Nothobranchius furzeri: one gene and its partner. The protein of the gene in region 1 interacts with the protein of each later gene in a pairwise test. Links are inferred from orthologs where the notes say so. Each region holds a gene or a part of one and is shown on either strand. Other genes may lie near its edges.

Region 1 (8,367 bases):
CACAACAATGGGCCTCAGGATCTCGCCATGGTACCTCTCTGCATTCAAACTGCCATCAATAAAATGCACCTGTGTTTGTTGTCCATAACACACGCCTGCCCATCCCAGTACCCCACCGCCACCATGGGCCACTCGTTCCACAATGTTGACATCAGCAAACCGCTCACCCACATGATGCCACACACGCAGTCGGCCATCTGCCCTAAACAGTATAAACCGGGACTTATCTGTGAACAGAATGCCTCTCCAACGTGTCAAAAGCCATTGAATGTGAGTGTTTGTCTACTTAAGTCGATTACGACAACAAACTGCAGTCAGGTCCAGAACCCGATGAGGATGACGAGCATGCAGATGCGCTTTCCTGAGATGGTTTCTGACAGTTTGTGCAGAAATTCTCTGGTTATGCAAACCGATTGTTGCAGCAACTGTCCAGCTGGTTGGTCTGAGGCGATTATGGAGGTGAACATGCTGGATGTGAAGGTCCTGCGCTGGTGTGGTCACACGTGGTCTGATTGTGTGAGGCCGCTTGGATGTACTAGTTGGATGTACAAATTCTCTGAAACGCCTTTGGAGACGGCTTATGGTAGAGAATGAACACTCGTTTCATGGACAACAGCTCTGGTAGACATTCCTGCAGTCAGCATGCCCACTCCCTCAAAGGTTGCAACATCTGTGGCATTGTGCTGTTTAATCAAACTGCACATTTCAGGGTGGCCTTCTTCTTCTTTGGGTAAGGCAGGCTGGATGCCTTGCGGCGTATTGCTGCCACAGCAGCACTAAGCCTACAGCCAAACCTGGCTACAGCTTGTCATAGACTCCAACCGCCCGTAGAAAACATAACGCCTCCACCCTGCGCCACTCCGCAACCTCCAATAATGTCCTCAGACTGAACAGTAACCTCCAACGCACCCAAAGCCTGAAACAAAGTCTGCCACTCCACCACGTATCAGCTGAACCTCAGAAGAACATGCCTAACCGTCTCCAGATCTCCACACTCCCACCTGCCATTTGGGTACTTACCAACCAGAAACAACTTCTCCCCTCAGGCAGCTATGTCCTAGCCGCAGCCTGGTCATGACCACCAGGCTCACCTCTTACGGAAAATATCCCACCCACGACCAGCCACTCGTCTTTGTAAAACATTATAGAGCCACCCAGTGCTCCCCACATCCCAGGAGGCCTGCCACATCCTCATAGCCACCTGACCAATATCGGAGGGACACTCCAGAGGCCCCAACTCCACCCCGAAATCCACATCCTGTGGGTGTCCTTTTATTGTGGGCAGTCTAAGTGTGACGGAGTGGTATGGATGATACCCCATTTGTCCCTTTAATATATTTTTCTATAGTCTGAAGGTACTTTGGTATGTGATGTTTTAACCAGATTAAAATGTGGCTATTGCACTGGTTTTGATGTAATGGGTTTTCATTGTATGTTCATGTAATTACCCTTTTGAATTTAATGTTTTTCTTTGAATCCAGAGTAGGCTATTGGTGCTGATTTTTCCCAGGTGTCATGTTTTTTTTCTTTCTATGTTATTTAAAAGAAGCCATGTGGAGGCTTGAGGAGATTCTTTTTCTGACTTAAAGGGCAAGTCACCCCCAAATCACCTTTTTTAGCTGATAAACGAAATAAACGAGTGTCTAATCGTGCTGTAGACACGTGTCGTCAATAATTTGGCATTTCAGTGCATCTTAGTTAAAATTTAAATATTCTGCCTAAAACTGACAGTGTTGTGCCATTGTCAGGTAAAAACTCTGCACTGTATTTTGATTTAAATCTGCCACCGCTAATGGCTAAGAGGTATGCTATGATGTAAACTGGTACATTATGATGTCACAATGCTGTCGTGAGCCTGTGTGTGTATTTGTTAGCAGCTCCGTCTTCTCGGTCTGCCAGGCAACAGCATTTGTTGCATTTTTCAAACAGGAAGTGAGAGTGGAGATAGACTCTGGTAGGGGTTGACTTGCTCTTTAACAAAAAGCAATGAAATAAAAGCCTGGGTAGCATATTGGCTCCCAAGGAAGAAAAAAAACTCACTGTTCTGCAGTTTGCCTCCAATTCTTTCATCTTGAAGACCTTCTGGCTACACTACCTTCTTCTTCGTCGTGTTTATTGGCGGGTGGCATCTAACTTCTAGGTGCAGCTACACATTATTCATGCTGTCTAATCAGTCCCTTGATATGCCACACCTGTGAGGTGGGATGGATTATCTTGGTAAAGGAAAAGTGCTCACTAACACACGTAGACAGATTTCAGAACAAAATTTGAGAGTCATGGGTGTTTTGTGGGTGCAGAAAAAGTTTCAGATGTCTGAGTTCAGCTCATGAAAAATGAGAGCAAAAACAAAAGTTATGCATTTTTTCAGTGTAGTATTTGAAATTTATAAATGCATATCTGAGCTTTCCAGTAATCGGGTTTTTATGTTATTTAGTATTATTGATTTTTACTAATGTGATGACACATTTTAAAAGGTATGGTAAACTAAGGTTATGGACATATTTCAATGAAACAGGAGTGGTTAGGGTTTATGCTGTAGTAGCAATGGTTATAAATGTGGGTGATTGTGAACGTTGCTCATTTTAAAATAAAACTCAACCGTCCACAATTCAAGCCACATCAGCCCTGGAAGAACTAAATAGAGATTTTTTTTGGGCTAACAAAATAAAAGGTTTTAAATCACACAATTACCCACCTTAGTAAGACAGTGGCTGTTGGCTGATTTGTAAACTACAGTTTGATTCCTACTGTATTCATGTTTATCAGAAATCTTTCCTGTTACACGATCATTAGGTGGGAAACGAGTAAGACTCAGAAATGGGTGCTTTTATTCTGAAAACATAAGCCCCGTTAAACACCGGAAATTCTTCGGCGTGTTTCCAGATAACTCAAACGCATGTGGTTTCGCTCATATAATTAAGAATAGACTTACTAAGCTCTTTTTTGCTATACTGTTTGCTCCTACAGTCTGCTTTGTCTCACAGGACAGCATTACGTCTTCGTTTTCGAGGTAAAAGCGCGACCCGTGTAAAATATGTTACAGCGACGTAAATGCTAGCATATCCAGCTAAAAGTCACATTAATGTAAAATAGAGTAAATAAGAACACGCCAGCTCTTAAAGATATAGATCAAAAAGGTGGTTTTATGTTTTCAACGACAATTGAAAATGTGTGGTTTACGTGGAAGTTGAATACCCACTAGCTTGGTTTGAGCTAGCTTTGCTAGCTTCGCAGCACTGTTTACTTTCGGAAAACCACGTCATATTAACTAGTTCGACTTTTATGTGGCATGTTAGTATTTCACAAGGATATGTATAATGTTTCGTATTTGTTAAGTTTAAGGGTGAACATACACATGGTAAAATGTGTAAGAAGTCTATTCTGCTGATATTAGCTCAGCTAAAAGCCAAATGTAGATCAATTCTATTACCTGGTGTCTGTTTAAAGTGTGCGACAAACGTTGTCTGTATCACATAATTTATTACTTGCCTTTTGACCTCTGTCTTCATTCCTAGCTGGCTGAACTGTATAGATCATGTCACAGGCCACCAAACGCAAACATGTTGTCAAAGAGGTTCTGGAAGACTTCGTCACCCCAACAGAAAACCAGCAGATTGTAAAGGTAAACCATGTTTGCTTTTGCTCCCAGCTGCTTTAAAAACTACTCAAAGGTACCTCTCTAACTCGGATCTATATTTTGTACCTGTGCACATTCTCAGGTTATTGGTACTCGTGGTAACAACCTCCATGAAACAATCACAGCTCAGGGCGAGACCTTCCTGGTGAGCATGCCCACCAAGTTCCGTAAGAACATCTGGATCAAGAGAGGTAACTGATGAGATTTTTAAAATAAAGAAATAAATACACCTCACGCCAGTTTTGAGCATTGCTACTTGTTCCAGGAGCAAATATTTTTTTTATTCTCTGAAATCTTTCCTATTTCTCAATGTCTTTCATGATTTTTTAATGGCAGATAGGTTTTCTTTCTTTGTGTGTTGAGTCACTGAAATAACCACTGTCATGGTAATTGGTAATCAGGTTGCAGGTTTGAGCCCTGCTCAGTTTGTCGCTGCTGTTGTGTCCTTGGGCAAGACACTTAACCCTCTTTCCTGCTGGTGGTGGTGGGAGGAACCGGTGGCGCCAGTGCTCGGCAGCCTCGCCTCTGTCAGTGTAGCTGTGGCTACATCGTAGCTCATCCCCACCAGTGTGTGAATGTGTGTGTGAATGGGTGAATGACTATGTTGTAAAGCACCTTGTGGGGTATTCAAATACAGGCCATATACCATTCCCATGGGCTCAAGCAAGACTGGCAGCTGGCTTGAATAATCCCCATTTTTGATTTTCCTTTTTGTTCAGATTATTTATTGAAGTCTAGGGTGAAAAATGAAAGGAGGCAAAGAAAAGTAAAACAATGATTACTCAATAAAATTACATAAGGTAAAAATAGAGGTACAATGTCAAAAGGAGGGATAATGGAGAAGAAAACAAGTCTTCAAACAATAAAAATATTTTAAAATATATATATAAAAACAAGTCAAGTAATTATACAAAAATGGGAAAGAATTAAATACACATGTAAGTGCAAAACAATATAAAAAACAAGGAACCACAATATAAATGCTGCTTAGTAGAACGGATAAAAAATCAACTGGAGTGTTTATAATTCAATGCAAGTGAAAACAGATCTTAAGTCAATTCTCTTTATGCCAAGTTAATGTAGTAAATTCTTACTTTTGGGCAAGTGGAGTATTGAGTTAATTCTTCCACAACTTCACTTAAAGGGGCATTATGGAAGTGTGACAGCCAAAACATGTGTAGAAATAATAAATGTCTTCTTCATACATTCTCCTGCAATGCCCTGGTCCTGTAGAATGAGCCCTGGCATTTTTACTGTGATTGCCTGTTTTTCTGTAAAATCACAGAAAAAGAGAGATGCTCGGGTCGAGCAGGCTGCTTCATGCGCGTTCACGCTCAGGCATCGCCCTCCGAACCGTTCTTTGAACGTTGTTTCAGCTGTACAGGATATAAATGTTACAGATACAAAGGACGTCACTGGCGCTTTAGCACACCTAGTAAGATGTCTGACTCTCCTGCAGAAGACCTGGGTTCGATTCTGGATGTGAACATAGTTTATTTAGAGTTTCTTTTTTACATTGATATATTTTTTACAGTAAGACGGCCAAATTTTTATTTGAGACTCGCCGAACGGCATTGAATTCACAGATAAAAAAGATGTGGGTTCAACTTTTCACTTTGTCTGCTGTGCTGAAGAGAAAGGTACAGAACCAAATTATTGAATTAGCTGCGTGTTCTCCTGTCCTCTGTCCTCCGGGCCACACACACACACACACACACACACACACACAAGGGACTGTCTCAGCTGTTATTTTCGTTAAGGAGTGTGCACGTACAGCATGCGCGCCTCGTGCACGAGCCTACTATTGAAGCTGCCGTTCCGCTTTTGGCCTGAGGGGGCAATCACGAGCATAAACATTCAAAACTCCGTAAAGTCCCTTTAAATTAATGTTTCTAATTGTCAGGTTTGTTCCTGCATTTTGTTTTTCTTAAATCTCTGCTTCAATTAACCAGATTAGGTTTCTTCATGGAAAATAACAGAGGTGTGTGTGTGTGTGTGTGTGTGTGTGTGTGTGTGTGTGTGTGTGTGTGTGTGTGTGTGTGTGTGTGTGTGTGTGTGTGTGTGTGTGTGTGTGTGTGTGTGTGTGTGTGTGTGTGTGTGTGTGTTGTTTAGAAATCACTGTCAACTCTGCCCAATCGGCATGAGTTAAACACAAGTCCCGCCCATTGGTTCTATTGGGCCTTTTGCAAGTCCATTCTCCAAGGCAGGCACTAATGTGGTTCCTGAAATGGCCTGGCAAGTGTTCCTGTTGGAGCTGTGAGACACGTGCGTGCCGTGAAATGTTCTGTATTACTACAGAATAACAGAAGGGGTTATTATAAGTTATTTCTAATCCTTATTTAAATGTTAGTAATTTTATTTATATTAAATAGTGTTTGAAATGTTGTTCTCCAGGTGATTATGTGATTGTGGATCCCATTGAGGAGGGGGAGAAGGTGAAGGCAGAAATCAGCTTTATTCTCTACAAAGATCATATTCAGCACCTGCAGAAACAGCAGCTTTGGTAAGCAGAGCACAAATAAAGATGCAAAGCATACGTGTTCTGGTCTGATGATGTCCTCCACCTCCTCTTAGGCCAGAGGGATTCACAGAGAAGTCATCACAAGACAAAACAAGCCACAAGCGGCAAGAGGAGCCCGAGGAGAAAGAGGAGGATGAGGGTAGTGACTCTGAAGATGATGAGAGTGACCTCTTTGTAAACACAAACCGCTGTAACTACCAATACAGCGAGAGTGAGGAAGATGACAGCGAGGAGGAGGAGGAGGAGGAGCAGCAGCAGGGAGGACGAAGGACAGAAGGTGGATCTTAGCTGCAGCTGTGAGAGGACAGCAAGCCATTAGCTCTGAGTCACAGCCCCCTCTACTGGCCACTGTGAGACACTGCTGGAGGACTTGAACTTTCAATAATAACGTTTCCTGATTTACTTTAAAAATAGTTTAAGCTATCAAATATGAAGATGTGATATACTCCTGTTGGCTTTCAGATTCCTGCTCAGGCTGTCTGGGACTCGCCCTGCTTACTGCTGCGTACTCACCACTAGCAGTAAAAGCATCTGAGTCAAAGGGTGGTGATGGTAGAAGTCTTACTGGTTCACTAAAGGCTTTGGTGTAACATGCAGGAACATTGCTGCTCTTCTCTAAGCTGCTGTAGATCTTCACAGCCCACTTTCAAATTAAAGCTGCCATTAGCCTCCGTTTCATCCGATCCTATGTTGCTTTGCACGGACCACTGGGATCCATTCACTGGTTCGGACTGCTTTAGCAGGTGCTGTAGCTTAGTGGCCAAAGCACCTGTGCTAACAGGAGATCCCGGGTTCAAATCCCAGCAGTGCCTCTGAGTTGTTTCTGGCTCAATAGTTGTGTGGAAGCACAATGATTCCTGGATGTAAACGATCAAATAGTTAACATGACATTTGATGTACAGATGACTGCTTTTGGCTGCACAGTGGCGCAGTGGTTAGAGCTGTTGCCTTGCAGCAAGAAGGTCCTGGGTTCGATTCCCAGCCTGGGATCTTTCTGCATGGAGTTAGCATGTTCTCCCTGTGCATGCGTGGGTTCTCTCCGGGTTCTCCGGCTTCCTCCCACAGTCCAAACACATGACTGTTAGGTTGATTGGTCTGTCTAAATTGTCCTTAGGTGTGTGTGTGTGTGTTGCCCTGCGATGGACTGGCTCTCTGTCCAGGTTGTACCCCGCCTGATTGCCCATTGACTGCTGGAGATAGGCACCAGCCCCCCTGCGGCCCTACGTGGACGAAGCGGGTTCAGACAATGGATGGATGGACTGCTGGTGGCGGGGTTGGAACACCGACTACTCCACACCTTATTCTGTGACCATGCTTCTCTTTTAGACAATGCAACATTCTGTCCCCAATATACCGTATTTTCACGACCATAAGGCGCACCTAAAAGTCTTAAATTTTCTCCAATGTACGCCGCGCCCTATGGTGCGGTGCGTACATTGTGTTGTTGTGAGACGCAAACGTAGTAGAAGACAAGGGGCGTGGCGTGAGCGTGCGGACGTGAGCGAAGACAGACCCCGAGTAGTTCAAAAGTGCAGGTATGCGCGGTATGCTGAACATAGTTCTGACAACCCTGAGAATGGCACCTGCTGAGAGACGCGCCTATGAAGCAGCTTAAACTGCAAGCGATCAGCTACGCGGAGACACACGGGACTAGAGCAGCGGCGAGAGAGTTCACCATTACTGAGTCCATGGTTCGCAAGTGGAGGAAGTTGGAAAAAACTTCAACACAGCGCATAAGAAGAGCACGAGCCGTCAGCGCACGCAATGAGGAAGTGCACGTGTGCTCTAAACCAGGTCTGAACCAGGACTAGACCAGTAGAGTGAAACATGCTTTTGGCTGTTTATAATTTTCACAATGTCTGGTTTGCACTGATATGTTCCGAGTCCCGAGCCCGCTCAGACGTTTAACCGCGCCCTATAACCCGGTGCACCTTTTGTAAGTGTCACATACCAAGAAGACAACTGAAGCTGCACCCTATGACACGGTGTGCCCTATGGTCGTGAAAATACGGTACTTTCTAAGTCTTATTCAAACATTTCTTTTCATCTAGAAGGAGCTTCACTATACGGTGACACAATGACCATTCACTCGCCTAAATCCTTGCTGCGATGCTGAACATTCCAAACGCCTGTTGGGCCAGTTCAACTGGAAAGTGTTGAACAAGGTTCTGGATTTGTTAGCAGGAGTACTTGGAAGCTGCGTGCTGCC
Region 2 (7,722 bases), on another chromosome or scaffold:
CGAGGGAGAGCCGGCAGGTGTTTGGAAGAGGAACATGGCAGAAGCAGCAAGACCCAAAAAAGTAAAAACTTCTAAAGTTTGGGAGCATTTTCAGTTAAATCAGGCGAAGACATTCGTTACCTGCAACGTTTGTAGGTCAGACTTAGCATGGCACGGGAGTACTGCAGTGATGATGCAGCATCTTAAAAGCAAGCATGTCGGAATCATCAGCGAGGAGGGAGAGAGCTCTTTGTCCGGGTAAGTTAAAAACTTTTCAAAAGTGATTCACCCAAGTCCCGGATTATTACACAGGCTAGACATGCCCTAAGCTCGTTAAAAAAAGTCTATAAAATCGTAAGCGCAACGCTATTAGATAAAGGGGGGGGGGGGGGGGACTCGCGCTGCTGCGAACCGGTTCCGCCGTCACATTCCCGCAGAAACTGGTTGATCACACCGGGGCCAGACTACTAGCACCACAATGTCCTCAGAAGCGAAAACGCTTTTAAAAGGGAGGGAGGAGTCCTAACTGTTGCTGCAGGCGTGTTGTGTGAGAGTGCAGTTATTTACTGGTTAATATATTTTTGGGTTCAGTTGCTTTCATGTGGCCTAATGTGAGTCTATTTGGGATCATTGGAATGATCAGCAGCATTTCTTGATGTGACTTTATGGCAGTTGCCCAGGGCATCATCGTAAGGAGGATGGCATTCATTTACTTTTGTTTTATTTGGTATTTTTTCAGTCATTTTTGGAAATAGTGATTAATTTTGATTAATTCACAGCCTATGTTTAATTACATTTAAAAATTAGTTGTTTAACATCCCCAATTATAATAAATGTCTGCAGATGAGATCAAACAAAACAGATGAGAATTGCCCTTAAAGAGCAAGTCACCCCCAAATAAACTTTATTTTTTGCTGATAAACTAAATAAATGAGTGTCTAATCGTGCTGCAGACACGTGTCGTCAATAATTTGGCACTTCAGTGTAGGGCTGCTCAATTAATCGAATTTTAATCACGATTACGATCTGAGTTTTGAACGATTATAAAAAACAAAACAAGCCGATTATTTGCTCCTCCCACTTGCGCTGCCCTGAGTTGCAAATGAAGCGCTCCTCACAGTGTTGCCAACTTAGCGACTTTGACGCTATTTCTAACAGCTTTTTAGACCCCCTTCTTGACTTTTTAAATCTTAAAAGTACCTAGCGAACATCTCAGAAACATCTCTGGTAACCTTTAGCTACTTTCAGGATAACTGTCGTTGATGTTTCCTGCAGGTTAGCTAAACACTCTGCCTGAGCTCCGGACCGTTCTTCACAACATTAGGAAAGGGAATGATGTAGTGATGTGTCGGTCGCTACAGAAACGGCTCTCAGAGTTGGCTCTGTTGGATTAACCAGAGTGAGTGACACACACACTGTAACTTCTGAGCCGCTAAAAACGGCTAAATGTGCGCGTGCGGCGCGCTAAACACACGTGCAGCTTGCCCCTGATTGCTGTGAGACCGGGTTGGGAGGTGGGGGGTGCAGCTGTGGTTGGGACAATTATTACATTAACTGATGGACTTGTAAATAACTAGTTTATAAATAAGGTAGAAATAAGTTCCTCACGCTGATAAACAATAACTAATCTCTCTGAGGAGACAGTGCTAGTGCACGCTCCTACAGCACCTTGACACGACTCAATAAATGTTATACAACATTTTGTGAACATCAATTTATTTGCATTTATTTGTTATAAATGCCACTGTATAATTCTTGCTGTCAGTATTTGCAAGATATTGGTATTTGGGTCTGTACTGGTTAGACTTATATGAGTTAAACCAAGGTCTATAGCCCTTGTGTCATAAACTATGAGCTGTAAGTATATTGGTCTTTTTATACTGGGAATCAGGAGTTATTTTAGTGATCATCTTGTTTCTTATCACACACCAGCTCAGTGGTCTAGTGGTAGAGTGTCCGCCCTGAGACTGGGAGATCAGGGTTCGATTCCTGGTCGGGTCATACCAAAGACTTTGAAAAAATGGGACCCAATGCCTCCCTGCTTGACACTCAGCATTAAGGGTTGGATTGGAGGGTTAAACCACCAAATTGTTCCCGAGCGCGGCTGTGTCTGCAGCTCACCGCTCCCCCAGGGGATGGGTCAAATGCGGAGAACAAATTTCGCACACACATCAGTGTGTGTGACAACTAATGGGACTTTAACTTTAACTTTATTTTGTCCTGATTGTGCCCTGAGCAATTTTATGACTGAATAAAAACAAATAAAATCAACATAAATAGAAAAATCGTCTTAAATAATCGAGATCTCAATTTCAGTCACAATAATCGTGATTATTATTTTTGCCATAATCGAGCAGCTCTACTTCAGTGCATCTTAGTTCAAATTTAAATATTCTGCCTAAAACTGGCAGTGTTGTGCCGTTGTCAGGTAAAAACTCTGCACTGTATTTTAATTTAAATCTGCCACCGCTATTGGCTAAGAAGTATGCTATGATGTAAACTGGTACATTATGATGTCACAATGCTGTCGTGAGCCTGAGTGTGTGTGTATTTGTTAGCGGCTCCGCCCTCTCGGTCTGCCAGGCAACAGCATTTGTTGCATTTTTCAAACATGAAGTGGGAGTGGAGTTAGACTCTGGTAGGGGTTGACTTGCTCTTTAAGCTGTTTAACTTGGACCAAGCATTTTAGGTCACAGATAGGTGTAGCTTAGGGTCTCTGCCTATACACCTTGTAAGACAATTTAGGTGATGGCATGTTGTTTTTCTGCTATTGAACTGTTTTCTAATAATGTTGTGTTTAATAAAGTGAAGGAAGGAGAGAAATAACGTTTCCCTAGCAGTTTTTAAAATTGTCCCTATGTAATCCGATTAATCGTGTCGAGACCCCATCCGATTCATCGATTATCCAAATAATCGTTTGTTGCAGCCCTAAAGCGTAAGTCAGTGTTTCCCCTAGAATTGTTGCCAGTCATGTCGCCTGGGTTCTGCTCGCAAAATGCTACAATGCTGCGTCTCCTGTGGGGGGTGTCTCGTAGATGTGGTGCTAGAATTTCAGCCGTGGTGCAGCTCCACTCCTGCGCCTATGCAGGAGAAACTGTAAGTTCAGTGGAGACCATGTCTTTGCTTTAACTGCTCCTGAATTATGGAACCACCTTCCCTTGGACATCAGGCAGTCCTCAACCCCATCTTGTTTAACCCTAACCCTACAAAAGGCATTAGCTTTAAATTGTTTTTCTTTTTTTTTTTATTAAACTTTTCATTTTTATCTTGACTGATTGCATAATTATTTTTCCTTACTTGTAGGTCTTTTTGCTGTAACTATTTTTATTACGTAGCCTGTTTTATTATTTTTCTACACATCACTTTGGTGCTGTAGGTGTTTAAAATGTTTTATAAATAAAGCTTTTATGAACGGTGCCCTTCAACATCTGGCGTAACCGTGGTGGGACCTCTGTAAGATAACTCCGTTGTTGTTTTGGATCTTCTTAGGGATACGGTGGCATCACAGGACTCCCTGGCAACTGTTCGGTTTCACGAGCTCCTGGCTCAGCTGGATGATCAGCACAGCCGCTTTGCTCTGGAGAACAACTTCCTGCAGCAGCACAACTTCCGTAAGATCAAGAGGAACCTGCAGGTCAGAGCCCCACGTTCTCTACTCGTGTCAGAGTGAGTTAAAACTAAGAAAGTGACTGCGTAAACATGGAGCACTTGTTTCTCCAGGATCGGTTTCAGGAGGACGCCCTCCATATGGCCATGATCATCTCCAGAAACTTGAAAGAGGAGCAGAAGATCTTGGCCAATGCAAAGGATTCTGTGGTAAGACCTGCAGCTAGACTCTGCTTTAATCCATCTAGATTTTATTTAAAGATGCTTTAATCATGAATTTGACAATGCTTCTGCAGCAGGAGAAGGAGGGGACGGTTTCAGCCATGGTGGTGGAGAAGCAGAAGCTGGACAACAAAGTGAAGGAGATGAGAAACATTGTTCAGGTGAAACAAACACGTTTCAGCCACATTTAAATAATCTCTGCTGTTCCTTTACCACAGCTAAAGGAGAGTTTCCTTTGTTCAGATTATCGACCAGAACCTGAAGAATCTGGAGGACCAGCAGGATGAATACGATTTCCAATTCAACACGCTGAAGAACAGAGGTAGGAAAGTGCAGATGACCCAGAAGAACAAGGAAACTTAGACTGAAGTGGCTTGTTCTGATGTTTGAGTGAAGCTGATGTCTGGTTATGTCCATCACCTGCAGAGAACGACGTGAACGGCATGACGCCAAAGGAGCTGGAGGCAGAGAAGTTAGTCATCATGAAGATGTGCCTTGAACTGAAAGCCAAACGCCACGTGAGATTCTTAATCCACAGTTTTATGATAGTAGAAAGCTGAGTCCAAACCTTCTAAAACTCCGTGCCTTCTTGCACGTGTCCCAGGATGCTGTGGTGTACCTGAATGAACTGCTGAATGTCATCCAGGGGTTGATAACCGACCTGATCTCCGAGGAGCTGCCAGAGTGGAAGCAGCGGCAGCAGATAGCGTGCATTGGCGGTCCGCCCAATGCTTGCGTGGACCAGCTGCAGAACTGGTGAGACCGTTGTTGTCCCAGAAGCTTCAGATAAACTTTATTTTCTTCTGTTGAGTTACCAAGAAATCTGAGACATCAGGAGAAGGCATCAAGCTGGAGTTCACATCTGACAGACATCTGGATCTAGAAGTATCAGAATAATACACAAGGTTGGAGATTATGGTAGTTTTTGGATCTAATGGAACCTGAATTTTCCCCCAAATCCCTAAAATTAGTGGTAATATCAATCCAAGTCAATTAAGATGAAGGGTTTAAATGAAGGTGACCAGACCAGACCAGAGGGGCTTGGTGTGGTCCTGATTCAGGGTCTTAAAAAGTCTTAAAAGTCTTAAATCGATTTAGTAAAGTCTTAAATTTGGGTCGTATGACGTGATTTTAAAATACGTTCGTCTCATACTTGCAAACTTGACGCTTTTCAGCGAAAATTGCCGCTTATGAAAAAAAATGCGTTCACATGAATCAAAGAGTTTTTGTTTTAGGGAAGGCGAGTCTGGTCGGATTTTAGTCGCTCTTTATAAGAATCAGTTTCAGAAAAATGAGGAGTGTTCATCCTCTTCACAAACCATCTTTGTTAGTGGGTCACGAGTTGCCATTTGACCAATCACAGTCACAGAGACAGCTAGGGGAAAAACGCTGCGGTAGCCGATATCACGGCGCCGCCACTACTGTCGCCTCAACATCTGGCAGCGGTTGGAACTTAAAAGTTCGTAAAATCATCAAAATCCCCTCCAGATACGTCAGTTTTCTGTCCAGAACATTAGCAGGTTTGTCTCCTTTCAGTTTCAGCCTTAACTGATGTCTCCCGAGGCTTGTGTTCTTTTTTTTTGGAGGGGGCGGGAAGTTGAGTTCAATCAAGTGTTGGTCAAAAACAGCTTTCCCAGTAATTAGACAGGTTCATCCTTACCTAAAGAAGATTCTGGCAGACAAGCTGCTGCGGTTGTTGTTTCAGGTGCATGCAGGCTAAACCCTATAGGCACGTCTTCCCTACATGTTTTATAAGAGATTTGAAATCAAGAAGAAGAAAAACTTGCAAAACAGTATGGATCTGTTCTCAGTGAGATGTTATTAGTGGAAAATAAACATAAATACGTCTAAAGACGTTACTGGTACTTTTACTGTCATTCTGTTGTGGAAAGTCAGCACAAATATTCAGTGAAAACTTTAAAAAGCTGCTTAAACCTTCATTATGTTACAGTGGGCCTGTCTATATTTATAAAATCAGTTGATTGTTTAAAGTAACTGTAACTAAAGTTACTCAGAGCCACAGTAGAAGGTCCAGCCTAAGTTACGCCGGGGACACACCGGCCGCCGAAGCGCCGGGAGGCGAAGTGCTCACGTAATTCGGTCGCTGCTCCTCAGTTCCGACCAGACGCTTGTTTCTCCGCTCCGGTCGAGGCGCGCCTCGTAGTTTTTCTTTTAATCACTTGGTGTCCTCCATTTCCTCTCCGCCTTTTCTCTTTTCCTCTACACCCCCCTCCCCCTTGCTGTTTGTGTGTGTGTGTGTGTGTGTGAACCTATGGTGTGAACCAGTTGTTAATAGCTGGCCTACGACTTTCTTCCTCTCTGTCCTGTTTGATGACTGTTTGATGCTTGAGGTCCACGTGGCAGGGGTGAGGTGGTGCTCACTCCTCACCCCTGCCACGTGGACCTCAAGGGATAAACCATCAATCCTGCTCATTGGCCAACTTTCCTCGCGGGGTCACCCATAAAGACAGAGGGAGGGTTATAGGCTACATTTAATAAAAAAAAAAAAAATACTCAAAGCTCTCGAATGTGTTCAGTTTTTGTTTTATGTTGCGGCCTTATGAGCTGGGTCGTAACAGTCATTGCTCCTCATTAATCTGATCAGTTTTATTCACATTGAAACTGATGAGATGTTAAACATGCTGGAGAGCAGGAAGTGATCAGGCTTGGAGGAGCTTCAACTCTCAAACACCCTGCTGCAGGTTCACAGCAGTCGCTGAGAGTCTCCAGCAGGTGCGTCAACACCTGAAGAAGATGCATGAGTTGGAGCAAAATTTCACGTATGAGAACGACCCCATCCCTCAGAAGAAAGTGTTTCTGGAGAGCCGAGCTCTGGAGCTCCTCAAGACCCTCCTCTCCAGGTAGGAAACCTCAAATAAATCGGTTAGCAATCTCGCTGTTGTCTGTATTCAATATTGATGAGTGTGTGTGTGTGTGTGTGTAGCTCACTGGTCATAGAGAGACAGCCCTGCATGCCCACCCACCCACAGAGACCCATGGTGCTGAAAACAGGCGTCCAGTTCACCGTGAAACTCCGGTAGGAAACTAAACCAAACCATGAAAACAGAATCATACAGAATTTCAGCTGAGAAACAAATATTTACACGAGTCAAGCCAGAGAAGGGCCTCTTTAACACGTGCCCATCAGAACTCATGTCTTAAAGCTAACTGGAGTTGCTGCAGAGAGCGAACGCTGACTGAGCTGCTCTTTTCCCGTTAGTTTCAAAAGCAGAAAGGTTTGACCTTAATAAACGTGCATTTCTGAGATTAGTTTCCTGTTTTTCCCCCTTCAGGTTTCTGGTGAAGCTTCAAGAGTTTAACTACCAACTCAAAGTCAAAGCTCTTTTTGATAAGTAAGATCATCTCCTGTTTCCACACGTTCCACATTTTCAGACCCATACATTTCTAAATATGGATGTTTTCTTCCCCTTAGGGATGTCGCAGACAAAAAAGGGTAAGTGTCTAACGTTTTGACTTGTTTATAAGAAATCTATCCAACTAAGTTTTTTTTTTTTTTATTCTTGAGAAGTTAAATGTATCCCTGAGTGATTATGTGTCTAAAACCAGGTTTCGGAGGTTCAACATTTTGGGCACAAACACTAAAGTGATGAACACAGAGGAGTCCAACGGCAGCCTGGCTGCAGAGTTCCGACATCTAGTGAGTTTATCGTAAAACTCGGTTTAAAATCATCGTTTTCCTCCTAAAACAAACAAAAATTATGCAGTGTTGCAATAAATAAATCTGATAACATCTCAGAAATGTCACCTGGTGTCATTTCTAAACCTGTCAGGCTCTGTTAATATCACTTTTAATTTATTAAAGTCACAGTTTAAATATAAAAACTAGTAAAAACACTAAATATGAAAACAAATATGGATTTAAAATAACAAAACTGTTTTAGAATGCATAAATTC

Evidence for each region. The genes of interacting proteins can lie anywhere in the genome.
Region 2: the proteins of eif1ad (region 1) and stat1a interact in binary tests that used the Homo sapiens proteins (3 or more experiments, as listed by UniProt). The two-hybrid records come from large-scale screens. The link is inferred for Nothobranchius furzeri from reciprocal best matches to the Homo sapiens genes EIF1AD and STAT1.

Annotation. Positions count from the first base shown.
Region 1 is NC_091741.1:29,805,266-29,813,632, reverse strand, and holds eif1ad (probable RNA-binding protein EIF1AD), read left to right. Parts: upstream 1-2,867; 5' UTR 2,868-3,010; intron 3,011-3,515; 5' UTR 3,516-3,535; coding exon 3,536-3,622; intron 3,623-3,719; coding exon 3,720-3,828; intron 3,829-6,031; coding exon 6,032-6,140; intron 6,141-6,211; coding exon 6,212-6,446; 3' UTR 6,447-6,675; downstream 6,676-8,367.
Region 2 is NC_091743.1:83,714,928-83,722,649, forward strand, and holds part of stat1a (signal transducer and activator of transcription 1a), read left to right. Parts: intron 1-3,468; coding exon 3,469-3,613; intron 3,614-3,699; coding exon 3,700-3,795; intron 3,796-3,881; coding exon 3,882-3,968; intron 3,969-4,050; coding exon 4,051-4,129; intron 4,130-4,233; coding exon 4,234-4,325; intron 4,326-4,411; coding exon 4,412-4,563; intron 4,564-6,509; coding exon 6,510-6,668; intron 6,669-6,751; coding exon 6,752-6,844; intron 6,845-7,100; coding exon 7,101-7,160; intron 7,161-7,240; coding exon 7,241-7,261; intron 7,262-7,374; coding exon 7,375-7,465; intron 7,466-7,722. UniProt on the Homo sapiens protein: Signal transducer and transcription activator that mediates cellular responses to interferons (IFNs), cytokine KITLG/SCF and other cytokines and other growth factors.